4 linked regions of the Saccharomyces cerevisiae S288C genome follow. The protein of the gene in region 4 interacts with the protein of the main gene of each other region in a biochemical or structural test. Each region holds a gene or a part of one and is shown on either strand. Other genes may lie near its edges. The genes, in order: ATG1, NUP159, ATG4 and ATG8.

What was found.
Region 1: the proteins of ATG8 (region 4) and ATG1 form a complex in vitro, tested with the Saccharomyces cerevisiae proteins (3 studies listed by BioGRID, with this or other methods).
Region 2: the proteins of ATG8 (region 4) and NUP159 form a complex in vitro, tested with the Saccharomyces cerevisiae proteins (2 studies listed by BioGRID).
Region 3: the proteins of ATG8 (region 4) and ATG4 form a complex in vitro, tested with the Saccharomyces cerevisiae proteins (5 studies listed by BioGRID, with this or other methods).

Annotation. Positions count from the first base shown.
Region 1 is NC_001139.9:156,872-164,833, forward strand, and holds ATG1 (serine/threonine protein kinase ATG1), read left to right. Parts: upstream 1-3,193; coding exon 3,194-5,887; downstream 5,888-7,962. Other genes in the region: MND1 (Mnd1p), read right to left, coding at 1-328, 412-414; GTS1 (Gts1p), read left to right, coding at 1,035-2,225; serine/threonine protein kinase TOS3, read right to left, coding at 6,538-7,962. UniProt on the Saccharomyces cerevisiae protein: Serine/threonine protein kinase involved in the cytoplasm to vacuole transport (Cvt) and found to be essential in autophagy, where it is required for the formation of autophagosomes.
Region 2 is NC_001141.2:142,639-152,231, reverse strand, and holds NUP159 (FG-nucleoporin NUP159), read left to right. Parts: upstream 1-3,522; coding exon 3,523-7,905; downstream 7,906-9,593. Other genes in the region: HOS4 (Hos4p), read right to left, coding at 1-637; mitogen-activated protein kinase tyrosine protein phosphatase SDP1, read right to left, coding at 1,044-1,673; putative porin POR2, read left to right, coding at 2,244-3,089; HIS5 (histidinol-phosphate transaminase), read right to left, coding at 8,147-9,304. UniProt on the Saccharomyces cerevisiae protein: Functions as a component of the nuclear pore complex (NPC).
Region 3 is NC_001146.8:224,075-230,929, forward strand, and holds ATG4 (cysteine protease ATG4), read left to right. Parts: upstream 1-3,295; coding exon 3,296-4,780; downstream 4,781-6,855. Other genes in the region: CNM67 (Cnm67p), read right to left, coding at 1-395; SQS1 (Sqs1p), read right to left, coding at 722-3,025; SSU72 (RNA polymerase II subunit A C-terminal domain phosphatase), read left to right, coding at 5,020-5,640. UniProt on the Saccharomyces cerevisiae protein: Cysteine protease that plays a key role in cytoplasm to vacuole transport (Cvt) and autophagy by mediating both proteolytic activation and delipidation of ATG8.
Region 4 is NC_001134.8:78,350-84,281, forward strand, and holds ATG8 (ubiquitin-like protein ATG8), read right to left. Parts: upstream 2,383-5,932; coding exon 2,029-2,382; downstream 1-2,028. Other genes in the region: NUP170 (Nup170p), read left to right, coding at 1-1,418; isoleucine--tRNA ligase ILS1, read right to left, coding at 2,694-5,912.

The sequences.
Region 1 (7,962 bases), on a different chromosome or scaffold from region 4:
TGTCTAGTTCTTGTTTATAAGTGGCAATATCACACTTTACTTCCTGTATCTTTTTTTTTATCAACTCGCTTGAATCATACAATTTTTGCAGTGTCTGATTTTTAAAGCACCAGTAGATGTTAATATTACCACATTTTTCCACCGAAATGACGCCGTCTTCATCAATCATTTGTTGCACTAAATCTTTAACGATCATGGGTGAGATTCCGCATTTTTTAGGTATGCTTTTCTCTAATTCCTTGATGTTGTAGAATGTGTACGTCTCTTGAAAAAAGTTCAGAATCCGGTTCTTTTTCTCTTGGAGTGATACTGTCTGTCTCTTTGGCCCCTAATAATAAGAAGAGGGTAGCACGCACCCGTCTATAAGTTAGTGTTCAGTCCTGTGTACCATGATGGTTTTATTAGACATACCATTGTTGAATGTTTATGATACTACACATAAAGTTTCCGCCGTTTAGTCTATATCGCAAAGAATAACGGTGGGACGGGAGATCGCCTTTTATATGCAATTTCGTGATCTGGGCGGTTATTTTACTTTTTTTCGACGCATAAAAAAGCAGGAAAGATGGTAAATTCGGTTCGTTATTCAAGATTTTTAGAGCCAGAAAGATATTTGAGCGTGCCTTCGTGAGAAGAGGCTTAGGTTGAGACGATGATGCTGAAATTATGGCAAGACACGAATTCTTCTTCAAGTTTCCCTTGTCATAATAAGAAGAGAAAAACATACCTTTATGTCGGTTGCAATTAAGAAGGTTGTATAGAGCATCTCAAATGCTGCTTTTACTTTATTAAACGTTGACCAAATAATACGGCGCTTTTGTTTCGACAACGACACACTATGATGCAAAGCGGATCCGGGTAATCGATAAATGGGGGCACCCGGAAATTATTGTAAGTTGAAGAAAGTTAGTGTTGATCTCTAAATGCTTCACAAAAGGGTGGAAGAAGAACATTTTCTCTTGATCAATCATTAATATAGATGGAGGCAGCGTTCTGTCAATCACAGATTATAGTTTATTTATACTTAGTCAAAAATGAGGTTTAGGAGTTCTTCCCATAGCTTAAAACATGTTGACAGAGAATTAAAGGAGTTGATTAATTCGTCCGAGAATGCCAATAAATGCGGTGAATGTGGTAATTTCTACCCAACTTGGTGCTCAGTTAATTTGGGGGTTTTCCTTTGTGGTAGGTGTGCCTCTGTTCATAGAAAAGTTTTCGGTAGCAGAGACGACGATGCCTTTTCTAACGTTAAATCACTATCAATGGATAGATGGACAAGAGAGGATATCGATGAATTAGTGAGTCTTGGAGGCAATAAGGGGAATGCTCGGTTCTGGAATCCTAAAAATGTCCCTTTTCCTTTTGATGGAGATGATGACAAAGCCATCGTGGAGCATTACATTAGAGACAAGTATATTTTGGGTAAATTCAGGTATGATGAAATAAAGCCTGAAGACTTTGGATCCAGAATGGATGATTTTGATGGGGAATCGGACAGGTTTGATGAAAGAAATAGAAGTAGGAGCAGGAGCAGATCTCATTCTTTCTATAAAGGGGGCCATAATAGGTCTGACTACGGCGGTTCCAGGGACTCATTCCAAAGCAGTGGAAGCAGATATTCTAGGCAACTGGCAGAACTCAAGGACATGGGTTTCGGTGATACAAACAAAAATTTAGATGCATTATCGTCCGCTCACGGAAATATCAATAGAGCAATCGATTATCTAGAAAAAAGTTCAAGTTCAAGAAATAGTGTATCGGCAGCAGCGACAACATCAACTCCGCCCCTGCCCAGGAGACGTGCGACAACAAGTGGCCCACAGCCAGCTATTTTTGATGGTACAAATGTAATCACGCCAGATTTTACTTCAAATTCAGCATCTTTTGTACAAGCAAAGCCAGCAGTTTTCGATGGTACCCTTCAACAGTATTACGATCCTGCTACCGGAATGATATATGTAGATCAGCAGCAATACGCCATGGCTATGCAACAGCAGCAACAGCAACAGCAACAGCTTGCTGTCGCACAGGCTCAGGCTCAGGCACAGGCACAGGCACAGGCTCAAGTTCAGGCTCAGGCTCAGGCTCAGGCCCAGGCTCAGGCTCAAGCACAGCAGATCCAGATGCAACAGCTTCAGATGCAGCAACAGCAACAGGCGCCATTATCTTTTCAGCAAATGTCGCAAGGAGGAAACCTGCCACAAGGTTATTTCTACACACAATAAAAATAAGATACATTGCCGCTGCTCCGCATTACATATCATATAGAGTGACACTAAGTAATTAAATGACACTAAGTAACGAAAGATATCTGTAAACAACGACTATATACCAGAATTAGTCATATTCTCTATTGTATTCACCCTACACAGCCGCATTACACAGCTGCTCCGGACGTTTTACGCTGCACATCAATGACTAATACCACTGTATTTGATCCACACTTAGCGCAAAAGTCACCTGGGTGGCGTTTTCCGCTCGCGCTCCGCCGGTGAGAGCGAGAAAAAAAAAAGGGATTGGGCGGTAATGTAAGGAAAACCCACTAGTTAAAATCAATGAGATAAGGAACTCTCTTTTTTTCCCGTTAATCATCTTTTCCTTGTTCGTTTCGTGTATCTGTAATGAATCTTATCGGAGTAACTATTACTGGAAAGCCATACCGTTAAAGAAGCAAGCATATCATTCGTATTCAAGCATCTGTTTTTCTTTTTAACCGCTCGGCTCTGATTTCTTAAACCATTTCCCCCATCAGCATCAGTTTGTGATTTGTAACTATATCGATCGTGGAATCGATGGAATTCTAAGCGTCATTTAGTTGGCAACAAAAGGAATCGAGCATCTCATAAAGGAGCTTATATTATTAATATCTTCCTGATCGTACTATTTTTTTTTAGCTTTTTATTTTTTAGGCCGAGGTTAATTCTAGAACGCCACATTTCATCACCTTTAAGTTAAGTACCAAGGCCATCTTTTACCCTTTTTAGTTTCTGGGGAAACAGAGAACAGTACTATAGAAGATAAAAAGATATAATACAATCGTAGTAATAGTACCCATAATAAAATAACATATAATATAATAAAAACATAAGGCAAAGGAGATAGGAGAATAATCATTGATATCTCCACAAAACGAATTTGAAGCTACCCCATATTTTCAAATCTCTTTTACAACACCAGACGAGAAATTAAGAAAATGGGAGACATTAAAAATAAAGATCACACAACCTCTGTGAACCATAATCTAATGGCAAGTGCAGGAAATTACACCGCTGAGAAAGAAATCGGAAAGGGTTCGTTTGCCACTGTATATAGAGGGCATCTGACATCCGACAAATCTCAGCATGTAGCCATAAAGGAAGTATCAAGGGCGAAATTAAAAAATAAGAAATTACTAGAGAATTTGGAAATAGAAATCGCTATCTTGAAGAAAATCAAGCATCCTCATATCGTCGGACTTATTGACTGTGAACGAACATCAACAGATTTTTATTTGATCATGGAGTACTGTGCTCTTGGGGACCTAACATTTCTGTTGAAAAGGCGTAAAGAATTGATGGAGAATCATCCTCTACTAAGGACCGTATTTGAAAAATACCCTCCACCGAGTGAGAACCATAACGGCCTGCATAGAGCGTTTGTCTTGAGTTATTTACAGCAGTTAGCGTCCGCTTTGAAATTTTTGAGGTCTAAAAACTTGGTTCATAGAGACATCAAGCCTCAAAACTTACTATTATCTACACCCCTAATTGGATATCATGATTCAAAAAGCTTCCATGAACTTGGATTTGTTGGGATCTACAACTTACCCATTTTAAAGATAGCAGATTTCGGGTTTGCAAGATTTTTGCCAAACACGTCATTAGCAGAAACTCTTTGTGGCTCACCATTATATATGGCACCAGAAATTTTGAATTATCAAAAATATAACGCTAAAGCAGATCTGTGGTCTGTCGGTACAGTGGTATTCGAAATGTGCTGTGGCACCCCACCGTTTAGAGCTTCCAATCATTTGGAGTTATTCAAGAAAATTAAAAGAGCAAACGATGTCATAACGTTTCCTTCATATTGCAATATTGAACCAGAGTTAAAAGAGTTGATATGTAGTTTATTGACATTTGATCCAGCCCAAAGAATAGGATTTGAGGAGTTTTTTGCTAACAAGGTAGTCAACGAAGACTTGTCTTCTTATGAATTGGAAGATGATTTACCTGAGTTAGAATCCAAATCAAAAGGTATTGTAGAAAGTAATATGTTCGTTTCTGAGTATTTATCTAAACAGCCAAAGAGTCCGAACAGTAATCTTGCAGGTCATCAATCAATGGCAGATAATCCCGCGGAGCTCAGTGATGCCCTCAAGAACAGCAATATATTAACTGCCCCAGCCGTTAAAACAGACCATACACAAGCCGTAGATAAAAAGGCTTCAAATAATAAATACCATAATAGCCTAGTTTCAGATAGAAGCTTTGAAAGAGAATATGTGGTGGTAGAGAAGAAATCGGTTGAAGTTAATTCATTGGCAGACGAGGTTGCTCAAGCAGGATTCAATCCAAATCCTATTAAGCACCCAACTTCAACTCAAAATCAGAACGTCTTATTGAATGAGCAATTCTCTCCAAACAATCAACAGTATTTTCAAAATCAAGGAGAAAATCCGAGGTTACTGAGGGCCACATCATCTTCCAGTGGAGGTAGTGATGGGTCTAGGCGACCATCTTTGGTGGATAGACGCTTGTCTATATCCTCGCTGAATCCATCTAATGCATTATCAAGAGCCCTCGGTATTGCATCAACGAGATTGTTTGGTGGTGCAAATCAACAGCAGCAACAGCAACAAATCACATCTTCCCCACCGTACAGTCAAACTTTGTTGAATTCCCAACTTTTTCATGAACTTACTGAGAATATAATATTAAGAATAGATCACCTACAGCATCCAGAGACACTGAAATTAGATAATACTAATATCGTTAGTATTTTGGAATCTCTGGCCGCAAAGGCATTTGTTGTTTACTCTTATGCAGAAGTGAAATTTTCTCAAATTGTTCCATTATCAACAACATTAAAAGGCATGGCTAACTTTGAGAACAGGCGCAGTATGGATAGTAATGCTATTGCAGAAGAACAAGACTCAGACGATGCAGAAGAAGAGGATGAAACGTTGAAAAAGTACAAGGAAGATTGCTTATCCACGAAAACTTTTGGAAAGGGTAGAACTTTATCTGCCACATCTCAGTTGAGTGCAACTTTCAATAAACTACCACGTTCGGAAATGATCCTTCTATGTAATGAGGCCATTGTCTTATATATGAAGGCATTATCCATTTTATCAAAATCTATGCAGGTAACGTCCAACTGGTGGTATGAATCTCAAGAAAAATCATGTTCTCTAAGAGTTAACGTGTTGGTACAGTGGCTAAGGGAAAAATTTAATGAATGTTTAGAAAAAGCTGATTTCCTGAGATTAAAAATTAACGACTTGAGATTCAAGCATGCTTCTGAGGTAGCTGAAAATCAAACTTTGGAAGAAAAAGGTAGTTCGGAAGAGCCAGTATATTTAGAAAAGCTATTATATGATCGTGCATTAGAAATATCTAAGATGGCCGCACATATGGAATTAAAAGGAGAAAATTTGTACAACTGTGAATTAGCTTATGCAACTTCACTTTGGATGTTAGAAACTTCTCTGGACGATGATGATTTTACGAATGCCTATGGTGACTACCCTTTTAAAACTAACATACATCTAAAAAGTAACGACGTTGAAGATAAAGAGAAGTATCATAGTGTGTTGGATGAAAATGACAGAATAATCATAAGAAAGTATATTGATAGTATTGCAAACAGGTTGAAAATATTGAGGCAGAAGATGAACCACCAAAATTAAGTGATGCATAATATGGTTTTCTTATTAAGTACAAATGACCTGCTATATTTTCAAGTATCTTCATGATTATGTTATGCTACTCTCGAAATGCTTTACGAGTTCGTCATTAAAGTATTCAAATTTTATTTTCCCTTTGTGTTTTGTTTTGTTTTTATTTCTACGTGATTTTTTTCTTGAAATCCAGCTCTTTTATACCTGGATGGGTTTTATTTTGATGTTTAAATGTTAATTAAGGAAATTATTGAATTCCTTCGGTTTCGGTGTGTTTTTTTCTTTTTAAGTTTTTTTTTGTTGCGTTTAGTACTTGCCTTTGGCTATACATATCCTTTTAATCTAATTTTTATTTCTTCAAAATTTGATTCTTTAACCTTTTGTTCTATATATATATATAAATGTATGTATGTATGATTTGATTGAGGAGGCTTTAACAAGTCATTAATATCTTTATTATTTTTACTTGTTGAGTTCATTAAAATTCATTTTATAATTTGTTGTTACAAACAGTATTTTACAAGTCATAATAAACGTTCAAAAACAAACACAATATTAAAAGAATTGGTATTAGGATCCGACATGACAATTAACTTAGATCCTTCTATCAAGTTTCTAATCATATATTACATCTATTAAAATAATTTACATATATCATGCTAAAGCTTATAAAGAGACATTCTTCTTCTCGTGCGCTGGGCGTCGCTAGCCTCAAATACAAGTGATGCGTCTGCTTCTATTCTAAGGTCATCCTTGCTGTTAGATTTCCCTTCTACCAGGTGGGCTTTTATACGTTGAGGTACATTACCGACAGGCGTAAGAGTAGAGCTCAAACTTGCTTCCGTACTCTCAAAGGGATATTCTCCTACAGGAGACATAGTTGTATATTGTGGAAACTCACAAGAATTCACTCTTAATGAACTTCCACTCTCACCTATCAAGCATTGTTGATCACCGATTGCTGGGGCATCCTGAATACTGATCTGAGATGCAAAAGCGGTGGATGATGTGAAAGAGGAAAAGGACGAATAGGATGACTCTCTAGAACCGATGTTGTGATATGCTGAGGGTGATAAGGTATTTGCGTCGTATATTGATGGAGAATATGTTGAATTTCTGTCAGCACCAGTCCTAAGGTTATTGTGGTCAAAATTTTCCATATAAACGCTATCTAAAGAGGCGAATGATGAATTCACTGGTAGGCTGACCAATTCTACCCTTTTGCATGAAGAGGGCGGTGAAACTTTCAACTCATGAAACGTCTCCAAATTGGTCAATACGGATGCTGCATCGCTTTTACCATAATGGCACATAAACGGATGTACCTTGATGTCTGCTAGTTTTATCCGTTTGTCAGGATCTTTTTGTAACAGCTTCTTCAATAAATCTTTGGCATCAGTGTATTCTTCCATTGTGATTCCCGAAGTGGCACCATTCAACATTTCCTCATAAGATGGAAATTCTAAGGGTTTATTGATAATACTGTCGAAAAGTTCTAATCCTGAATTGGCGTTGAAAGGCAACTTTCCAAACAACAAGCAGTATATAGTGACCCCCAATGACCAGATATCGATGGCAGATGAGCAGGAATACTCTTTTTCAGTGGAGCAAAGCTCAGGTGCAAAAAAAGCAGGGGTCCCTAAGGCTCTAGATTTTAAAAGTTGTTCATGCGATGATTGTATATTAGTACTTCCGGTGGCAGTTGACATAGCAACGCCAAAATCGGATATTTTCACCGTTCCGTTTGATGAAATTAACAGGTTCGATGGTTTGATATCTCGATGCGTTATCCCTTGGGAATGTAAATACTCCAGACCCGATACTACATCCAACACTACCTTCCTCGACTGTTGGAAAGTGAGTATTGATGGTCCCACTGCTTTTATCTCCATTTTGTTTTCTGGACACCATTTAACGGGTCCCCTTGAGCAATATTCTAATACAAGATAAACCTTTGTGCTCTCAGGGTCATTCAAAATTTCATACAATTCCACAACGTTTTCATGATGACATCTTTTCATTACTTCAATTTCTTGATTAACCCTTGGATTTTCTACTTTCAATTGAAGAGAATACCCGCTTCT
Region 2 (9,593 bases), on a different chromosome or scaffold from region 4:
CATCGTCTGTGTCCTTATCTGAGTCGCTATACTCTATATCTTTTTCCACATTTTCTGGTTCTGTTGTATTTTTTTCAAGTACCTCATCACTTAAATCCTCTTCTTCAACAGCTCCCAAACCCTCTTCTTCTATGAAATCATCAACAGTTTTCCTTTTTGGTTCTTTCAACATCGCTCGAAGTTGGTCTCTCGAAAAAGGTTGATGGTTTTGGATATCAACATTACGTACATTGGGTGATGATGATGATGACGAAATTTTCGCTCGTATTGCTTGGCTTATTTTTTCATTCGTTTCAGGAACATCGTCCGGACGGCTGTCCCCATTAACCTCTCCTTCGTGTGAACTCGCATCATTCTTATGGGCCAGGTCTTCGGATTCCTTTGCATTCAGGTTATTTTGGGTGGCTTGATGAACGCTTGTAGTCTGTGAGCGAAACGATGCAACATTTTCTGGAAACTTATCACTTACTTCTTCCGACAGTGTTTCCCTTTGTTCATGCTTGCCGGCAGTATCTTCCTCTTCGGATGTTTCTTGTTTAGAAATCTTTTCCAGCTCCTCCCGTCTCGTGCTCACGTTTGAAAGATAGCTGCTCAGGGACCTTTTCTTTAGCGGCTGTTTTGTAGTAGTCTCATTCATATTGTCATGAATCTCTACAGCAATTCTTCTCTGTCACATATAATAATATCCTTTGTTGCTTTGTGTAACTTACTACATAGTTTTCTCAATATACACATTGATTTAGCATCACAAGAAAACTTGTTACCCGGAATAAACTAGTATGAACCGTACAGTAAATGCGCAAATTATATTGAGAACTTCGTACAAGAACCCTACCAAATCCAAACCTTGTTCTTCTAAGGACGAGTCACTTCCTGAGCCTTGATTTGGAAAAGGCTCTCAATAAGAGAAACTAAAAGCTCAGAACAGAGCATGAAACAAAGCGAAGAAATACGGAATTATTTATAAAGTACAGAAGAAAAAAAGAGCATCGTGCCCCTCAATAAAGCCTCATTGAATGCTATATCTTTTTTTTTTTTCTCTCTCACGGTACTTTTCTATAACTGTTGGCTTGCACGTTAGTCTTCGCGTTAAGAGCAACCTCCCATTCCATCAACTGGAAAATAAGCCCTATGGAAGGGTTTATCTTGTCTGCCCTTGATTTCAACAGATCATATGAGTGCCTCAGACTCAAGTTATGATATTTCATTATATATGCAATAATCAGCGTTGCGGATCTCGACAGCCCACATTGGCAATGTATCAGTATCTTCTCTCGCTTAGTCGTAGCTGCGTGTATGATGCTAGTCAATGATGGCAAGTCCAACGCAATCTGCGAATCATGTTCCCATCGGTAGTGATGGTACTCGACAGCAGGAACCTGCATTCGTAAATCGTTTGCCTCTTCAGCAACGTTGATGACCACATCAAAGGGTAAAAGCTCTTTTACCGTGGGCTCTGAATAAAGGTAGATCTTTTCCGGGAGAACAAGTAATGGGCCTTTTGGGTAGATTCTGCGCACGTCCAAACTCGAACAAGGCACGAATTCACGGTCTTCATTCGGGCTTTCTTTGTCCGTAGACCTCTCATCTGTGGCCAGCATAGGAAGAGATGGTCTTTGGCCACTCTTTGGTGCGATGTTCGGTGTTCGCGTGGGTGATGTGTATATGTTCATGCGAGATTATGGCTACAAGTGCGCAGCCGTATGTGTTATTTTAGATAATAGATTATCTTCAACTTTGTTGCTGATCTTGTCTTACTCGTTCTTTTATATCACCCAGTATACCATAAAGGGGATAAGAACTGATTAAAGTTATTCGCTGCGGCAACCTAATTAGGAAGTTGCCTGTTCCAGAAGGGGAGTTGCCAAGGCCGCGCCGTACGACGCAAAAACCCTTTTCTATCTGGAAGATATCTCCTATTCCAATAGTGTGCGCCCTGCCTAGCAAATGAGACGAATAACGGATTCCGCAGAAATGACACACTGCAAAATCTGTTCGTAGTTTTCAGCATTTAAAAGTTTAGTTCTTTTTCTATGCTGCGACTGAGCTTCTGCATTTTTTAACCAAATACTAATTTGTCTTACATGATTGAAAGCGCCTTTAGCAATTCCTTTCCTTTTTTCTCGCTTCCAATTGCAGAAATGGAACAAAAAGAAAAGAAAGAATAGTGAAGATGGAGCTCTTCTGTTTTATTCTCGAGTGAAGGAATTGCATGAAGAGGAAAGTGTTAGAAATTACCTACGATGGCACTACGATTTTTCAACGATATATCTAGAGATGTCAATGGCCTATTCAATAGGGACTTTTTTCACACCAACCCCCTCTCTTTGAATATTTCAACAACCACGGAAAATGGTGTGAATTTTACTCTGAAGGCGAAGCAGGGCGTGACAGAAGGCCCCATCCAAACTAGCGTAGAAGGACGGTTTTATGACAGGAAGGAGGGAGTGTCGCTATCTCAGAGTTGGTCGAACCAGAACAGGTTAAATACAAGAATCGAATTTTCCAAGATAGCACCTGGTTGGAAAGGTGATGTCAACGCATTTTTGACTCCCCAATCCATCAAGAACGCCAAATTTAATTTGAGCTACGCCCAAAAATCGTTTGCAGCAAGAACTTCTATAGACATCTTGCAACCTAAGGACTTTGTCGGAAGTGTTACTTTGGGCCACCGCGGGTTTGTTGGCGGCACTGACATCGCATATGACACAGCTGCGGGTTTATGTGCACGCTATGCTATGTCAATCGGGTATCTTGCCAGAGAATATTCGTTTATTTTGTCTACTAACAACAGGCAATGCGCAACTGCTTCATTTTTTCAAAACGTTAACCGCTATTTGCAAGTGGGAACTAAAGCCACTTTACAATCGAAGACAAGTTCTAATATGAACATTGAATTTGTTACCAGATACGTACCAGATTCTATTTCGCAAGTTAAGGCAAAAATTGCAGATTCAGGCCTGACTACATTGTCGTACAAGCGAAATTTGAATAAAGATATTTCTTTGGGTGTGGGTATGTCTTTCAATGCGCTACAACTGACTGAACCAGTCCACAAATTTGGCTGGTCTCTATCGTTCTCGCCCTGAGAGATTTTATTTTCTTATAAATTTTACTAAATAAGGATTTGTACTTTTGATAGAGTTTTTTTTTTTTCTGACGTTTGTTTAGTTAATATTATATAATAGTATTTAGGAAACTAGGTGGGAGGGGACATCGCAACTTTTATCGTGACCTACGACCAGTGTTTTTTCAATTGTTTGATCAAAAGAGAAAAAAAGACAAAGGACCGAAGGATAGTTGCACGCATAAACTGGAGAAAAAATTGTGTTTGACATCGGCGTTTAGGCTTGTTTGTTCTGTCACACATACGCTGCTTCACACCAATTCATATTTCTCAGGTTAATTTGTCTCCTCTCCAACTTCAATAACGATTTTGCGTGAAGGTTTAATTTCATTATTGCAATTTTAGCAGAGAAACGCACATAAATATATATATATTGATTACAGAACCATTATAACATGTCTTCTTTGAAGGATGAAGTACCCACTGAGACTTCCGAAGACTTCGGTTTTAAGTTTTTAGGTCAAAAACAAATTCTACCTTCCTTCAATGAAAAACTGCCATTTGCATCTCTACAAAATCTCGATATTTCAAACAGTAAGTCTTTATTCGTTGCTGCCTCTGGTAGTAAGGCGGTGGTCGGCGAATTACAATTACTGAGAGATCATATCACCTCCGACTCTACTCCGTTAACGTTCAAGTGGGAGAAAGAAATCCCAGATGTAATATTTGTGTGCTTTCATGGTGATCAGGTTTTGGTTTCAACCAGAAATGCATTATATTCGTTAGACTTGGAGGAATTGAGTGAATTTCGAACGGTCACTTCTTTTGAGAAGCCAGTTTTCCAATTGAAGAACGTTAATAACACTTTAGTAATTTTAAATTCAGTCAATGATTTATCAGCACTGGATTTAAGAACAAAATCGACTAAGCAACTGGCACAAAACGTTACCTCTTTTGATGTCACAAATTCGCAGTTAGCAGTTCTACTAAAAGATAGAAGTTTTCAAAGTTTTGCATGGCGAAATGGCGAAATGGAAAAACAATTTGAGTTCTCTCTACCGTCAGAATTAGAAGAGCTTCCAGTAGAAGAATATTCCCCTTTGAGTGTTACCATTCTCTCTCCACAGGATTTTTTGGCGGTTTTCGGTAATGTTATATCAGAGACCGATGACGAAGTTTCATACGATCAAAAAATGTACATTATAAAGCACATAGACGGCAGCGCCTCATTTCAAGAAACTTTTGATATTACACCTCCATTCGGGCAAATAGTAAGGTTCCCATATATGTACAAAGTTACCTTGTCTGGTTTAATTGAACCTGATGCAAACGTAAATGTGCTAGCATCATCATGTTCAAGTGAAGTAAGTATATGGGACTCGAAACAAGTTATTGAACCTTCCCAGGATTCTGAACGAGCAGTATTGCCCATCAGTGAGGAAACAGATAAGGACACAAATCCAATAGGTGTGGCAGTTGACGTCGTTACTTCAGGCACTATTCTAGAACCTTGTTCCGGTGTTGATACGATAGAGCGATTGCCGCTCGTTTACATATTGAATAACGAAGGTAGCTTACAGATAGTCGGGTTGTTTCATGTGGCAGCAATCAAAAGCGGCCATTATAGCATAAATCTGGAATCTTTAGAACATGAGAAATCTCTCTCTCCTACATCAGAAAAAATTCCTATTGCTGGACAGGAGCAGGAAGAAAAAAAGAAAAATAATGAATCAAGTAAGGCTTTATCAGAGAATCCTTTCACATCAGCAAATACATCAGGCTTCACTTTTCTTAAAACACAACCAGCCGCTGCCAATAGCCTGCAGTCTCAAAGTTCTTCAACCTTTGGTGCTCCCTCATTTGGATCATCCGCATTTAAAATTGACTTGCCATCAGTCTCATCTACCAGTACTGGTGTAGCGTCCAGTGAACAAGACGCAACAGATCCTGCTTCTGCTAAGCCAGTATTCGGCAAACCCGCGTTCGGAGCTATTGCCAAAGAACCGTCAACATCAGAATATGCCTTTGGCAAGCCATCTTTTGGTGCTCCCTCCTTTGGCTCTGGAAAGTCATCTGTTGAATCGCCTGCCTCCGGATCTGCCTTTGGTAAGCCCTCTTTTGGTACTCCTTCCTTTGGCTCTGGAAATTCATCTGTTGAGCCGCCTGCCTCCGGATCTGCATTTGGTAAGCCCTCTTTTGGTACTCCTTCCTTTGGCTCTGGAAATTCATCTGCTGAGCCGCCTGCTTCCGGATCTGCCTTTGGTAAGCCCTCTTTTGGTACATCTGCATTCGGAACTGCATCAAGTAACGAAACTAACTCTGGATCCATATTTGGAAAGGCTGCATTTGGTTCATCATCTTTTGCACCCGCCAACAATGAACTTTTCGGATCAAACTTTACTATTTCAAAACCTACAGTTGACAGCCCAAAGGAGGTAGATTCAACGTCACCTTTCCCATCTTCTGGCGATCAAAGTGAAGATGAGTCTAAGAGTGATGTAGACTCTTCTTCGACACCTTTTGGTACGAAACCTAACACCTCTACGAAACCAAAGACCAATGCCTTTGATTTTGGGAGTTCTTCCTTTGGATCTGGATTTTCAAAGGCTCTGGAATCTGTTGGTTCCGATACAACTTTTAAATTCGGTACTCAGGCTTCACCTTTCTCTTCACAGTTAGGAAACAAATCACCATTCAGTTCCTTCACAAAAGATGATACTGAAAATGGATCTTTAAGTAAGGGCTCTACCAGTGAAATCAATGACGATAATGAAGAACACGAAAGCAATGGTCCCAACGTAAGCGGTAATGATTTGACAGATTCTACGGTTGAGCAAACATCTTCTACTAGATTACCGGAAACTCCCTCGGATGAAGATGGTGAAGTTGTCGAGGAGGAAGCGCAAAAATCCCCCATAGGCAAGCTAACTGAAACTATAAAAAAAAGTGCCAATATTGACATGGCTGGTTTAAAAAATCCTGTATTTGGAAATCATGTCAAAGCAAAATCCGAATCGCCGTTTTCAGCATTTGCAACAAATATTACCAAACCAAGCTCTACAACACCTGCTTTTTCGTTTGGTAACTCCACAATGAATAAAAGTAATACATCTACGGTTTCACCAATGGAAGAAGCTGATACTAAAGAAACTAGTGAAAAGGGCCCCATAACCTTGAAGAGTGTGGAGAATCCGTTTCTACCAGCGAAAGAAGAAAGAACTGGAGAAAGTTCTAAAAAGGATCATAACGATGACCCAAAAGATGGTTATGTATCAGGAAGTGAAATATCTGTAAGGACTTCTGAAAGTGCTTTTGATACCACAGCAAACGAAGAAATTCCAAAGTCACAGGACGTGAACAATCATGAAAAAAGCGAAACAGACCCAAAATATAGTCAACATGCTGTGGTTGATCACGATAACAAGTCTAAAGAAATGAATGAAACTTCGAAGAATAATGAAAGGAGCGGTCAACCAAATCATGGTGTCCAAGGAGATGGAATAGCATTGAAAAAAGACAATGAAAAAGAGAATTTTGATTCAAATATGGCAATAAAGCAATTCGAAGACCACCAATCTTCAGAAGAGGACGCGAGCGAAAAAGACAGTAGACAAAGCAGTGAAGTTAAAGAATCAGATGATAACATGTCACTCAACAGTGACCGGGATGAAAGTATATCTGAGTCCTACGATAAACTGGAAGATATTAATACTGATGAGCTACCTCATGGTGGAGAAGCTTTTAAAGCACGTGAAGTGAGCGCTTCCGCTGATTTTGATGTACAAACTTCATTAGAAGACAATTATGCTGAATCTGGCATACAGACAGACCTTTCAGAAAGTTCCAAGGAAAATGAAGTTCAAACGGATGCCATACCCGTGAAACACAACAGTACACAAACTGTTAAGAAGGAAGCAGTCGACAATGGTCTGCAAACTGAGCCTGTTGAAACATGTAATTTTTCTGTTCAAACATTTGAAGGTGACGAAAATTATTTAGCAGAGCAATGCAAACCAAAGCAATTGAAAGAATATTACACAAGTGCAAAAGTATCAAATATTCCTTTCGTTTCACAAAATTCTACGTTAAGGTTGATTGAGAGTACATTTCAGACGGTCGAAGCTGAGTTTACTGTTCTGATGGAAAACATCCGGAATATGGATACTTTTTTTACTGATCAATCGAGCATCCCTTTGGTGAAGCGTACAGTGCGGTCTATCAATAATCTGTATACTTGGAGAATACCAGAGGCTGAAATTCTATTAAATATTCAGAATAATATCAAGTGTGAACAAATGCAAATAACAAATGCTAACATTCAAGACCTGAAGGAAAAAGTTACAGATTATGTCAGGAAAGATATTGCACAAATAACTGAAGATGTAGCCAATGCAAAAGAGGAGTATCTGTTTTTAATGCATTTTGATGATGCTTCGAGTGGATACGTTAAAGATCTCAGCACGCATCAATTTAGAATGCAAAAGACATTACGTCAAAAGCTATTCGATGTGTCCGCCAAAATTAATCATACTGAAGAGTTGCTGAACATTTTAAAATTGTTCACTGTAAAGAATAAGAGATTGGACGATAATCCATTAGTGGCAAAACTAGCTAAAGAATCTCTTGCACGTGACGGTTTACTAAAAGAAATCAAATTATTGCGTGAGCAAGTGAGTAGGTTACAATTGGAGGAGAAAGGTAAAAAGGCTTCGTCGTTCGATGCATCCTCTTCAATAACAAAGGACATGAAAGGATTTAAAGTAGTAGAAGTTGGGTTGGCCATGAATACGAAAAAGCAAATTGGTGATTTCTTCAAAAATTTGAACATGGCAAAATAGTGATATTTAGCTATATGTACGTTGTTAGTGCCGTTAATAATAAATTCATCCTCTATCATAGAAACAGGGCATGAGAAACGAAGAAAAATTGATATTGTAACAATATCATGAGACCTTTTATAGAAGTGGCGCCAAAACTAAATGTATTTGAAAATACAAAAAACGCACAGGTTTCTTTATATATGTATATATATATATATATATATATAAAACTGTACATATACTGTTTAAATTAATCTATTTATTCATTGGCCAGCTTATATAACGTCTCCTTGAAGTACTTTATCAAATGTGTGTTCTCCTCATGGGTTCCAACGGTAATTCTCAAACATCCGGAACAGCCTAATTCGTTACCTCTAAATCTGACGACAACCCCAGATTGAGTAGCCAATTGGTAATATAACTTCTTTGCCAAGACATTGTCACCCCCGTTGATCCGTATTAAAAGAAAATTAGCATCTAATCCACCAACATATTGGTCATCAACGTAATCCAAAGCAGTTAATTCCTTTAAGAGGCGCATTTTCTCTTCATTGATTATTTTCGAAGTGGCTTCCATCTTCTTTAGATTACTGTCTTGAACAGCTTTTAGTGCATATTCAGAGGCTAGGGAGGAAATATTATAAGGCGCCTTCATTGCATTTAAAATTCTGGCCAACTCTGCTGTTGCATATGTCATACCCAACCTAATCCCGGCTAAACCGAATGACTTGGATAGAGTTTGCAAAGTAACCAAGTTAGGATACTTGGTGACTAGTGGAGCTGTAGAGCCACCACAAAAATCTACGTAAGCTTCATCAACAACGACTAACCCATTGTCCCAATTCTGTAAGACCTTTTCGATTAAACTGGTCTTAATTTTGGCTCCGGTTGGATTACCTGGTGAAGTAACGAACATCAACTTAATTAGCGAGTCGTTTTTCAAAATGGTTAATACAGCTTCGGTATCCATTTGAAAAGAACCGTCGGAAACAGTTAAAGGACATTGGACGACTTCTATATCATTAATGTTTGCACAAACAGAGTACATAGAATATGTTGGTGGAAGAACCAGAATCTTTTCTTTCCCGGGAACACAGCATGCTCTAATAATAGCATCAATACTCTCATCAGATCCCACACCTAGGCACAGATTGTCAGCAGTTAAAGGTTTTACCTCTGGGTCATTGGCATAACTGCTTGTTTTGTTCCTGTATTTCGTCATTGCGGTCTTGAATTCCAATTGGTGAGGATCCGGGTAACGATGTAAATTGGTCTTGCTCAATTCAACTGGAGTAGGTCCATGGGCATTTTCATTGGCGTCTAGCAATATACCCTCGGTGAAATCATCTCTTGCACAGCGATAAGGTTCCAAGTTATAAATTTTTGGTCTAACAATTCTTTTCAAATCAAAAACCATAGTGTAATTTTAATATATACGGCACACACGTACTGCTGGTTTAGCAGGAAACAAATTAAGAGTAATCAATGGAAAAACTGTTTTTACATATTGGAGGGTATATTGAACAGAACTGTGTGCATCCTTTTCAAGTTATATAACGTGAGAGATAAAATATCAAGTATGTCATGTCAGGGTAAGAAACATCAATTGAAGTGAGTCAACAGATCCAAGAAAAAAAAGCACTAACTACGTCACTATACCATGAACTATTGAAAATTGGTAGTTTAGTCATCTCAGATTCCATTCA
Region 3 (6,855 bases), on a different chromosome or scaffold from region 4:
CTCGTAAAATGCTTCGAAGAGTTTTCTCTAGGAGTAGAGTGTATGAAATTGGGTACATCCTTTTTATGAACATCAGTACCTATGGGAGACTTATCTTTTTCGTTTTTTGGTCGTTCTTGTAATCCTGGAGATTCCTGATAACTAGTATTTCTAGCATAATTCATTTGATCCATAGATGGTGATTTGTTCTCTTCATATGAGTCTCTAGCATTGGAAAAGTTGCAATTGATGACATCTTCAGGGTTAACGAATAAAGGTAAGATGGATTTTCCGACATGATTTTCATTTAGCCAGTTTTGTGGGATTGGCTCTCCGTCTTTAATTTCCCCATTCTCTGATACAGGAGAATCCAAACGCTCATGAAATGGAAAATTCATTAAATCGAAATCAGTCATGATGTACAAAAGACCTGTCACTATTTACTAGTGATTATTTTTTGTATGTGTAGATTTCTTCCCGAGGAACGTTAACGTTATTAGTTGTTTTATTACTATAAACGTTCCACAAAAAATTGCCTAACGCCTCACGTCGCGCAACGCGAATTTTCACAAGAAGATGTTATTTACAGTTACGATAATTGAATTGGATATGTAACGAGAAGTTGTACCTAAAACTCCGTATGTGTATATTACCATAGATTTTTCATGGTCTAGTCTAGAAAATAAAAAAATATGTATATACGCAATTGTTAAGAAAATGAGGATTAAAAGCTTGGAAAATATTAACTTTCACTGTGTCTTAAACCCGATCTATTCTTTTTAATTTTGGCAAAAATTGGTTCACTTATACCTTTATTGCCTTGAATACCAAGGCCCTCTCCACTTTTCCACCCAAGCTTTTCCAACATTCTTCTACCGATATTTTCGTTTCCAATCTCTGGAGCGTTTTGACCAACAATCTCACCTTCTTTAACATGAAATTTCCCTCTGATTGTTTTAGTTCTTTCGAAAGCAGCTTGTTCCTCCCTCGGTCTTCTTATATCTATTCTCATGAATACTGGCCTCTGCCTCATCAATTGGTCAATGAGACTATAATTCGGAGAAGACCATTTCGTTTTCTTTATTTTTTCTACAACAACCGACGTATGATTTGCTTTCCCAATTTTTGAACTCTTCATATTATAATGCTTCGCAATTTTCATTACGGTCTTGTTTCCATGAGGATCTAATGGAGGGAAAGTCAGTCTATCATTGTTCCTAGACAAAAAGGACTCAAATTCATCTTTAATATTTTGAATATGGAGTCCATATGGGTATTTCTTGAGCATATCGTTCGAATTTCTATTCTCCTGATCAATGAAATCTTCTTTGGCTTTTCTTTTCTTTGCTTTGGTTTCTATGCGTTTACTAAACTTACTTTGTAACGTCTCCAACGTTTCTGTATCCAGCGCTAAGGCGTCATCGATGAGTAGCTTCTTCTTCTTACCTTTACCCTTAGTTTCCAAGGACTTGGTTTCAAATGTTTTGAATCTTTCTGTATCATGTTTCAATGTGTATGCAATTAGGTCGTCCAGACCCTCTTCAATGTCGCTATGCACAACCGAGGAGGCCATATCTTCATCATCTTCATAGCTGTCGCCTTCATAGCTGTCACCTTCATCACTCGAATCAGAAATCGGAATATCTGAGTAGGTTGGCTCAGCTGGTTCAATTTTTGGTATAAGAGAATTTTTAATAAAATTCAAATATGCAGGTAATCTATCTTCAGGAAGACCTAACTCGTCTACAACGAAGTCTGTGAGTAAGTCCTGGTCAATCCAATGAAAGTCGTAATCTCCCAGTAATCTGTAACACCGTAGATAATATGAATTGTCTACTCCGCCCATTCTTATATTGGAGACCACTATGTCATTAGTATTTATGACAAAATCTTCTTCTTTGAATCCAAATTCTAACTCTTCGCTAGCAGGAGATGGCAGATTATCATTATTGCCTTCGAATGTTTTGGTACCATTTATTGAAAGACATTTTATATCTTCTGTCAACTGCGGACTAGGGCTTGGTAAAAGATTGTTGTCAGCTCGGGAATTGTGACGTTGGCCAACATAATTAAACCCTTGATCAACCTCAGAACTTGCTGAGGATTCGTATAAAGGTTCACTATTATTCTCTGTTTCTATTTCGTAGTCTAGTTCATCATTGTCCGAGTCGCTAGTATGCATACCATGTAATACGTTGGAAATGTAACCAGCAAATGGATGATATGTCTTATTACCCTTATTTGGAACGTCAACACTAATTTCCTTGCTTTCGTTACCTTCGGAAACGCTAAGTTCAACCTTTCCAATTGTTAAGATAGGATCGAACTCTATCGCAACTTCTCTTGGCCTTGCGATTTCCTCGATACATACTCTTTTTATTTTGGTTAGATCCGGCGATTGCTGAGCCTCTTCATCTACAAAAAACAGGTCACCATCTTCAACTTTGCTTTCATTCGAAGACAGCGAGTGGTCCGTCGAGGGTGAATTCTGACTATCATCATCCTCGTTTTCACTGTCTTCATTGTTAATATATTCAACATCAGAAGTCATCTTTCCTGGTTCTTCAAAAACGTCTGCTTCCCTTTCGACAATTTCTTCACTGTTCTTTGTTTCGTTCTTTGCTCTCAGTTTTTGAATCATATTGTGGGATGGATCGTAAACTTCCTTAGCTTTTACAAATTGCATAGGTCTTTTGCGGAATGCTGCCCTTCCTGCTTGTAGGTCAGTTGAAGAATCATATCGATTACCTGGTCTTAAACCACCCATTTTCATAGAACGGCTCTTGGCATCGCGACCAAAATAATAGTCTTCTATAGTTTTTGGTGATATGAATGCTCTTCCTGGGTTGAAGTCGGCGCCTACATCATCAAGATCACCTTCTCCTAGTGGTATAGAAGAGTTATGCCAACTGTTAGTGGGAGTAGGTTTTTTCTTTATCTTTCTGCCTTGTATGCCTTTAGCATTCCCCCTGCCAGCTTTCTTGGAATTGCTACCACGTGCATGCCTACGTCTGCTTCCTTGATAATGACTATGCCTTTTTGCCATTTTTTTTGACGGTTACAACAATTTATGCTTATATTTGACTCTGCGATTAAATCACTTCTTCCTTCTAGAAACTCTGCGCAGGCCTAATTGTTGTTGTTTTGTTCAGATCTTATTTAATTGTAAAATGTCAAATTTCACTTTTATTCTTTAGGCGGTGACCGTTGCAGCTGCCAACAATAGCGCCTCAAAGGAAAAAAGTAAAAATATACACACAATAACGTTAGTAGATGAAGAATGGACGACTTCTTATCACGTATAGGAGTGATATACATGCAGAGGTGGCTACAACTGTGGAAAATGGATTTGGTACAAAAAGTGTCTCATGGCGTTTTTGAAGGCTCGTCCGAAGAACCGGCTGCTCTTATGAATCATGATTATATAGTATTAGGGGAAGTATATCCTGAGCGAGACGAAGAATCTGGCGCTGAACAATGTGAACAAGACTGTCGATATCGCGGTGAAGCGGTTAGTGACGGGTTTTTAAGCTCTCTTTTTGGTAGGGAAATTTCTTCTTACACAAAGGAATTTCTTTTGGATGTACAATCAAGGGTCAACTTTACATATCGGACAAGATTTGTTCCTATAGCAAGGGCGCCAGATGGGCCTTCACCTTTAAGTCTAAATTTATTAGTACGTACAAATCCGATCAGTACAATAGAGGACTATATAGCAAATCCTGATTGCTTTAACACTGATATTGGGTGGGGGTGTATGATAAGGACAGGACAAAGTTTGTTGGGGAATGCCTTACAAATCCTTCATTTGGGCAGAGATTTCAGGGTAAATGGTAACGAAAGTCTGGAAAGAGAATCAAAATTTGTAAATTGGTTTAATGACACGCCTGAGGCTCCATTTTCGTTACATAACTTTGTTTCTGCAGGTACAGAACTCTCTGATAAAAGACCAGGTGAATGGTTTGGTCCCGCAGCTACGGCAAGGAGTATACAATCTTTAATATATGGCTTCCCCGAATGTGGCATCGATGATTGTATAGTATCTGTTTCATCCGGCGATATCTATGAAAATGAAGTTGAAAAAGTATTTGCTGAGAATCCAAATAGTAGAATATTGTTCTTGTTGGGCGTGAAGCTCGGGATTAATGCGGTAAATGAGAGCTATAGAGAAAGTATATGTGGTATCTTAAGTTCAACACAGTCAGTAGGCATTGCCGGCGGTAGGCCGTCTTCATCGTTGTATTTTTTTGGTTATCAAGGAAATGAATTTTTACATTTCGATCCTCATATTCCTCAACCGGCAGTAGAAGATTCATTTGTAGAGTCGTGCCATACCAGTAAATTTGGTAAATTGCAACTATCGGAAATGGATCCCTCGATGCTCATTGGTATTTTGATTAAGGGCGAAAAAGACTGGCAACAATGGAAGCTAGAAGTTGCAGAATCTGCTATTATCAATGTTCTTGCTAAGAGAATGGATGACTTTGATGTGAGTTGTAGTATGGATGACGTGGAAAGTGTAAGTTCTAACTCAATGAAGAAAGATGCAAGCAATAATGAAAATCTCGGAGTACTAGAGGGAGACTACGTAGATATTGGTGCAATATTCCCACACACAACAAATACAGAAGATGTAGACGAATATGATTGTTTTCAAGATATTCATTGCAAGAAACAGAAGATTGTTGTTATGGGAAACACACACACTGTTAATGCGAATTTAACAGATTATGAAGTAGAAGGCGTCCTTGTAGAGAAGGAAACGGTAGGTATTCACAGTCCTATTGATGAAAAATGCTAGTGTAAGGAATTCACTAGTTCATAAGCATATATACTTGTTTTAATATATTCCCTAAAACTGAGGTATCCAGTTCTTTTGTTCTTATTCGTTTGATCATCCTTTACGTATTTTTCGTCTGCGGCAGTGGAAAGAACTTAAAAAACGAAAGATAATAAAGAAAAAGGCCAGTCGGCACGAATTAAAGACCACCTGTAAGAAGATTAAGACAACGGTGGTATAAACTAGTGTCGAAGTCCAAAATGCCTAGTCATCGCAATTCAAACTTGAAGTTTTGCACAGTTTGTGCATCAAACAACAATCGTTCAATGGAATCGCATAAAGTCCTGCAAGAAGCAGGCTATAATGTTAGCTCTTACGGAACAGGTTCAGCTGTGAGACTGCCTGGTCTATCGATAGATAAGCCTAATGTGTACTCATTTGGTACACCCTATAATGATATATATAATGATCTTTTATCACAATCAGCAGACCGTTACAAGTCGAACGGTTTATTGCAAATGCTGGATCGTAATAGAAGACTCAAAAAAGCACCTGAAAAATGGCAAGAAAGTACAAAAGTCTTCGACTTCGTTTTCACTTGTGAAGAGAGATGTTTTGATGCCGTTTGTGAAGATTTGATGAATAGAGGTGGGAAATTAAACAAAATAGTGCATGTAATTAATGTTGACATTAAAGATGATGATGAAAATGCTAAAATTGGTAGCAAAGCTATATTGGAATTAGCTGATATGCTCAATGATAAAATAGAACAATGTGAAAAAGATGACATTCCCTTTGAAGATTGTATAATGGACATTTTAACTGAGTGGCAAAGCTCACATTCTCAACTACCGTCATTATACGCTCCTTCATATTACTAAACAAAACGGTCAATTACTGTAGAAAAGCATAAGCATTAAGCGGCCCTCATGAATCCTACATTATCCGTGAAATTTCAATACTTTCACAAGTCTTCGATAGCTTCCTAGTTATATTCATTATATAATATTACGTTTCTTGTTGCGGCTCTCTTAAGCACATTATTTGCTTGTTGTCCACATAGCTATTTTTTTATCAAGAAGCTTGATATACAACACACTGTATTTTTAGTAAGCTGGACAATGTCTTGTCTCAATGTAGCGTATAACAGGTTTCATTCCAAAACACATCACCAGATATAGGACTGAAATGAAGAAAATAGAAGCATGAAACTTTAAAAGTTTCAGTACTTTAAGAAAGAAATAAATAGAAAAATGTTCCATTTATTTCTGAAAATAAATCAAAAATTATAAGATCCACCCGTTCCTACCAAGACCTTCCAAAATTTTTCCCATAACGGGAACGAGCAAAGTTGAGACTGCTCAAAAGAGCACATCTTCAAACTACAATCCCGACCAAATAATCTCAACAGCCATACCTTCATCATAAACTTAAGTTCATTCGAATCTGCCGTCAAAAACTAAAATGGCACGCTAGAGAAAAGTAGTCAAAAAGAATGCCTCTACAAAGCTCTCTTTTGAAAGGCCCCAGCTCCCCTAACACCAATTTGAATTTGGTGTCAAACTTCTCCAGGCAGAAGAAACAAAGGGCCCCAAAAATCAGTTTAACCCAAAAATCCCCAAAGGAATCAAGGGATTAACCAATGATTGAAACAAGGGAATGGAAACGTCAGCAAACACGCCTTCCGCGCCGTATGTGTGTGTGACCAAGGAGTTTGCATCAATGACTTCAATGAACAATTATAGTTCAATGATAAATGCTTAACGTCCTTCTACTATTGGAAGCGCATGTTTGATCAGTAGGACTTCTTGATCTCCTCTGATATCTTAAGGTAAGTATGAGGATTTTAAAAAAATTCAAGAAAAAACTATATTTTAACGCTAAAAGTATGTTTGTAAAATAGTTCTATTAAATGGAACTTCTTCTCTCTATTTATACGTCTTGCCAATGGAAAACTCGTCGCCTTAGAAAAAAAAAAGGTGCAAAGACGGGTAATAATTTCATTGACATTTTCAAGAGCTAGGGAATGAATCAATGAGCCCTATGATGGCAGCGTAGATCACCGTATTTAAATTAACATATAATAAGATTTGTTG
Region 4 (5,932 bases):
CTACTGCTTTACTTGAACAAATTGTGGATGATCTTTCTATCGAGAAATTGAAAGAAGCTGTATCAATGATGCTGAGTGTAAATTATTACCCAAAATCTATTGAATTCTTATTGAATATTGCCAACTCTATGGACAAAGGCAAACTAGCTTGTCAATATGTGGCAAATGGATTTTTAGAAAATGATGATAGGAAACAATATTACGACAAACGTATCTTAGTTTATGACCTAGTTTTTGATACTTTAATAAAAGTAGACGAACTTGCCGAAAAAAAACAGTCATCAAAAACTCAAAACCAAATTTCGATATCGAATGACGATGAAGTGAAACTGAGACAAAAAAGTTATGAAGCCGCCCTAAAATATAACGATAGATTATTCCACTATCATATGTATGATTGGCTTGTGTCTCAGAACAGAGAGGAAAAACTATTAGATATTGAAACTCCATTCATACTCCCTTATTTAATGGAAAAGGCAGGTAGTTCATTGAAGATATCTAATATACTCTGGGTCTATTATTCAAGAAGATCTAAATTTTTCGAATCTGCTGAAATTCTTTACCGTTTAGCTACATCGAATTTTGACATCACATTGTTTGAAAGAATTGAGTTTCTTTCACGCGCCAATGGTTTTTGCAACAGTGTGTCACCATTAAGCCAGAAACAAAGAATTGTACAATTAGCTAGTAGGATCCAAGATGCATGTGAAGTTGCTGGTATTCAAGGTGATATATTGTCGCTCGTGTATACAGACGCAAGAATAGATTCAGCCATTAAAGATGAGCTGATCAAAACTCTAGATGGTAAAATATTGAGCACAAGTGAGCTGTTTAATGATTTTGCTGTACCCTTAAGTTACCATGAAATTGCCCTATTCATTTTCAAGATAGCAGATTTTAGGGACCATGAAGTAATTATGGCCAAGTGGGATGAGCTATTCCAATCTTTGAGGATGGAATTTAATAATACCGGAAAGAAAGAAGATTCAATGAACTTCATCAACTTACTGTCTAATGTACTGATTAAAATTGGTAAAAATGTTCAGGATTCTGAATTCATTTTCCCCATTTTCGAACTCTTTCCCATTGTCTGTAATTTTTTCTACGAAACACTACCTAAGGAACATATTGTATCAGGGTCGATAGTTTCTATATTCATAACAGCGGGTGTTTCTTTCAACAAAATGTACTATATTTTAAAAGAACTAATCGAGACATCAGATTCCGATAATTCCGTATTTAATAAAGAAATGACCTGGTTAATTCACGAATGGTACAAATCGGACAGGAAATTTAGGGACATTATTTCCTACAACGATATCATTCACTTGAAGGAATACAAAATTGATAATGATCCAATTGAAAAGTACGTTAAGAACAGCGGCAATAATTTGGGGATTTGTTTCTACAAAGAATAAAAATTCATGTTCGACATATAGATAGCAGGGTAATGTACGTGTATATTTTAATGTAATAAAGAGGCCTTACTAGACGGTAAAGTTAAGAATATCGAGTGAACTTTTCCTTAAGATAAAGGTAAATATAGTCGAGTATTTATTTATTATTCTTTTCCACTATACAGTATTTAAAATTCTGTAAGAAATTGATTCTACATACATAAGACAAACGAACAGGTCAGAGAGAATCAGATTTTTGGTTAGCAAGAATACATTTTGGAGAAGAAAGACATTAACTCCACCTTACTGTATCATCTTATTTGCTTTTTCACTCCTTCCTAATATTTTTTTTATTTTATTTTGAATTTCTTCCTATTTCTGATGCATTGAACAGATCGTAATCTGTAAGTAAATACCATAACGTGCTCACATTTGTCTCCAAATACTGGTGAAATCTTGGCTCCGTTGTGTACAAAACTTCTTAATGAATATATATATATTTTTCCCTTATTTTATCTTTTTTTTTCGAATTTTTTATGTAAACATTCTTATACTGGAACAATAGATGGCTAATGAGTCCCTATAATTTCGATTTTAGATGTTAACGCTTCATTTCTTTTCATATAAAAGACTACCTGCCAAATGTATTTTCTCCTGAGTAAGTGACATACAAAAACCCGTCCTTATCCTTGTGTTCTTGATATATGGCAGACATCAACGCCGCAGTAGGTGGCAAAGTATCATTGACAAAAATGAAGATGGCCTTCTCAGGGGGTAGCATAATTCTCTTTCTTATAACATAAACAAATTGCCCTACGGTAAGGTCAGCAGGAACTAGATATTTACGCTTATCAATCTCTGGAATATCTGACTTTTCAGCTTTTTCGCAAATCACAGGTATCCTATTCTTGAACCTGTCAGCAATCCTCTCCGACTCCGCCTTCCTTTTTTCAAATGGATATTCAGACTTAAATGTAGACTTCATGTCTCTAGTAATTATTTTATTATGATTTTCTCAACTTTACAATTATTAGATTCTCTTATCAATCCCCTCCTCAACCTTTAATGGTTCCCCTTTTTGTATTTCCATAATTATACCAAATATTTTTGCCGCCGCCGAAAATAACCGGCCTCCGGGTGATGATATATCATGTGCTATGATTTCACGGGTATTATACAACATTATCGGTGGAGACAGTTAGCATTACATGACTCTAACTTAAACGTAAACTTACACATATACATCTATATCACTTCGAGTAGAGAAAAATTTGTACGTATTTATATGAGTTGTTTTCATAATTTGAACACTTTTAATTTGAAAATGGTGTCATTAATAGATTGTTCTTCATCACCAATTGGGTCTGTCTTTGAGCCGTCATATTTGGCAATGTCGGATCTACAGGTCTTGCTTAACATATCAAAATGTTCTTTGACAATGGCTTCAAAGTCGATAGTATCTTTAACTAATTCGTACTCCACTAAAACATCGTCGGTGGCTTCCAAACCACACTTCTTTCTCAATTTTTGGATTCTGTTGACCAGCTCTCTTGCGAGACCTTCACTCTTTAGTTCAGAGTAAATATTTGTATCCATGATGATTAACACGTCTTGGTCGGTTCTGGTTTCTTGTCCAGCTTGGACAGCAGATTCTGGCAAGCCTCTAATAGCATTCAAATCTCCTTTAACCAGTTCAATACCGGCAACCTCCAACTTTCCGCTTTCCAAATATTCCCGTACTTGCTCAGAAGTGACTGATGGTAGGGCATCTTTAACCTTCTTTGCGTCTTTTTTCAACTTCTTACCCAATACAGGCCAATCAGCAACTGCTTTATACTCAACACCATATTTTGCCTCATCGGAGGTGATAACAACATCACGAACATTTAATTCCTCGATAATGTAGTTTTTCAAGGCTTCTACATCCTTCAAGTATGATTCATCACTGTGAAGGATGACCAAAGTCTTCAATGGAGTTTTTAAGGAAATAGTTTTCTTTTCACGAATGTTTCTACCCAAATCGATAACGGATTGCATTCTAGAAACTGCAGTTTCGATGGCCTCGTCAAAGTATTCTTTCTTGACCACTGGGTAAGATAAGAAATGGACTGATCTTCCGTCCTTACCGTATTTTGCTAAGACAGCTTCTGGGATGTATTCCTTCAGTCTCAAATAAATGCTTTCTGACAAAAATGGGGTGAATGGAGCCATGGCACGGACAAATGTGAATAAGGCATCGAATAAAGAATTTAATGCTTTCAAACAGTCCTCAACACCGTTTTCACCCTTCAAACGACGACGATTAAATCTAATATACCAGTTTGTCAATTCATCAATGAAATTCAAAAGTTTTGGAACGACAGTGTATAATTTGTACTGACCCATTTCTTCGTGAATGAATTGTACTAGAGATTGCATAGAAGCTAAAATCCATCTGTCCATGACATTATCACTTTTCACAGAATCATCATATTGGAAGTCGATGTTAGACATCTTTTTCAACAAGGCAATTTGACCGTCCAAAAATTTAAAGGAGTTCCACCATGGTAGTAAGACCTTTGAAACAACCTCCTTAACACCCTCTTCTTTGAATTTCAAACTTTCAGCTTTTAAAACAGGTGAGTTTATCAAGTACAATCTTAATGCATCCGCACCATATTTGTTCAGAACAATGGATGGATCAGGGTAATTTTTCAAGGATTTAGACATCTTTCTACCATCGGCAGCTAAGACAATACCAGAGACGATGACGTTCTTGTATGGAACAGAGCCAAATAGATGGGTACCTAAGACAGCTAACGTGTAGAACCAACCTCTTGTTTGATCCAAACCTTCAGAGATGAAATTAGCTGGAACTCTTTCGTCAAATTTTTCTGTGTTTTCAAATGGATAATGTTGAGAAGCATAAGGCATAGAACCAGATTCAAACCAACAATCAAAAACTTCTTCAATTCTCTTTAAGTCACCCTTACCTTGCTTGGATGGAATTGTCAATTTGTCAATGACATCACGATGCAAGTCAGTGATGTTACGCACACCGGTCAATTCTTCCAATTCTTTGATAGAACCAACACAGACGACCTCCTCAAAATCGTCTGAAACCCATAAAGGAATTGGAGTACCCCAATATCTATTTCTGGAAACGTTCCAGTCACGGGCATTGGCGATCCAGTTGGCGAACCTCTTTTCCTTGATGGTGTTAGGAACCCAGTGAGATTTCATCACAGAATCCAACATTTGAGGGACAATGTTTTTAACACGAACGAACCAAGCTGGAACAGAACGGTATAACAATGGGGTATCGGATCTCCAACAGAATGGATAGGAATGGCGAATTTGGGATGCCAATAACAAATTTCCAGTATTAGTTAAGTACTTAATAATCAACTTATCAGCGTCCTTGACATAAACACCCTCAAAATCAGGAACGTCTTTCGTGAATCTACCAAGGTCATCAATGGCGTTAGGTAACACTGAATCTTCGGATATGACGCCGTTCTTCAAACAAGCAGCATTATCCTCTTCACCGAAAGCGGGAGCGTTATGAACAATACCAGTACCGGAATCACTAGTAACATAATCATCTGAAATAACTCTAAAAGCTGTTTCATGGAACTGTTCAGCGAAATATGGGAACAATGGTTCATACTTCAAACCAACCAAATCAGAACCTTTAATTTTTTCCACAATCTTATATTTTTCATTCTTAGGCTTCTTATACAAGGTTTTAATCAAAGATTCTAATAAGATGAAATAACGATCTCTGGTTTCGTCGTAAATCTTTACATATTCGAAATCAGCGTTAACACATAACGACAAATTGGAAGGTAAAGTCCATGGAGTCGTAGTCCATGCGACCAATTGAGTTTTTTCCTGGCCAATAACATTGAAACCAATGGTCACAGCTGGGTCGTTAACATCTTTATAGTTTTGCTGAGCTTCAAAGTTACTCAAGGGAGTGGTTAGGCCAGTAGAATAAGGCATAACTTTGAATCCACGGTAAACTTGACCTTTTTCATGAAGTTGCTTGAAAGCCCACCATGTGGACTCCATAAAGGATGGATACATAGTCTTGTAATCGTTGTCGAAATCAATCCAACGACCCAAACGACCAATAGTTTTTCTCCAATCACTGGCATAAGTCATAACAATGGATCTACACTCATTGTTGTAGTTTTCAAGACCATACTTGAAGACGTCATCTTTACCCGTGATACCTAATTTCTTGTCAATGATATGTTCAATTGGAACACCGTGTGTATCCCAACCGAATCTTCTTTCCACGTGGTGGCCTGTCATGGTAGCGTATCTTGGAACAATATCCTTAATAGTGGAAGCAAGAATATGACCGTAATGAGGAGTACCGGTGGCAAATGGAGGCCCATCGAAGAAGGAAAACTCCGGTTTGTCTTTTGTTAATTCTAATGAAGTATGAAAGGCATCTATTTCATCCCAAAGAGATAGAACTTTTTCTTCCTCCTTTGGAAATGAGAAGTGTGCGTTACTCTCGGACATATTTCCTTGGTTTTTTGAAG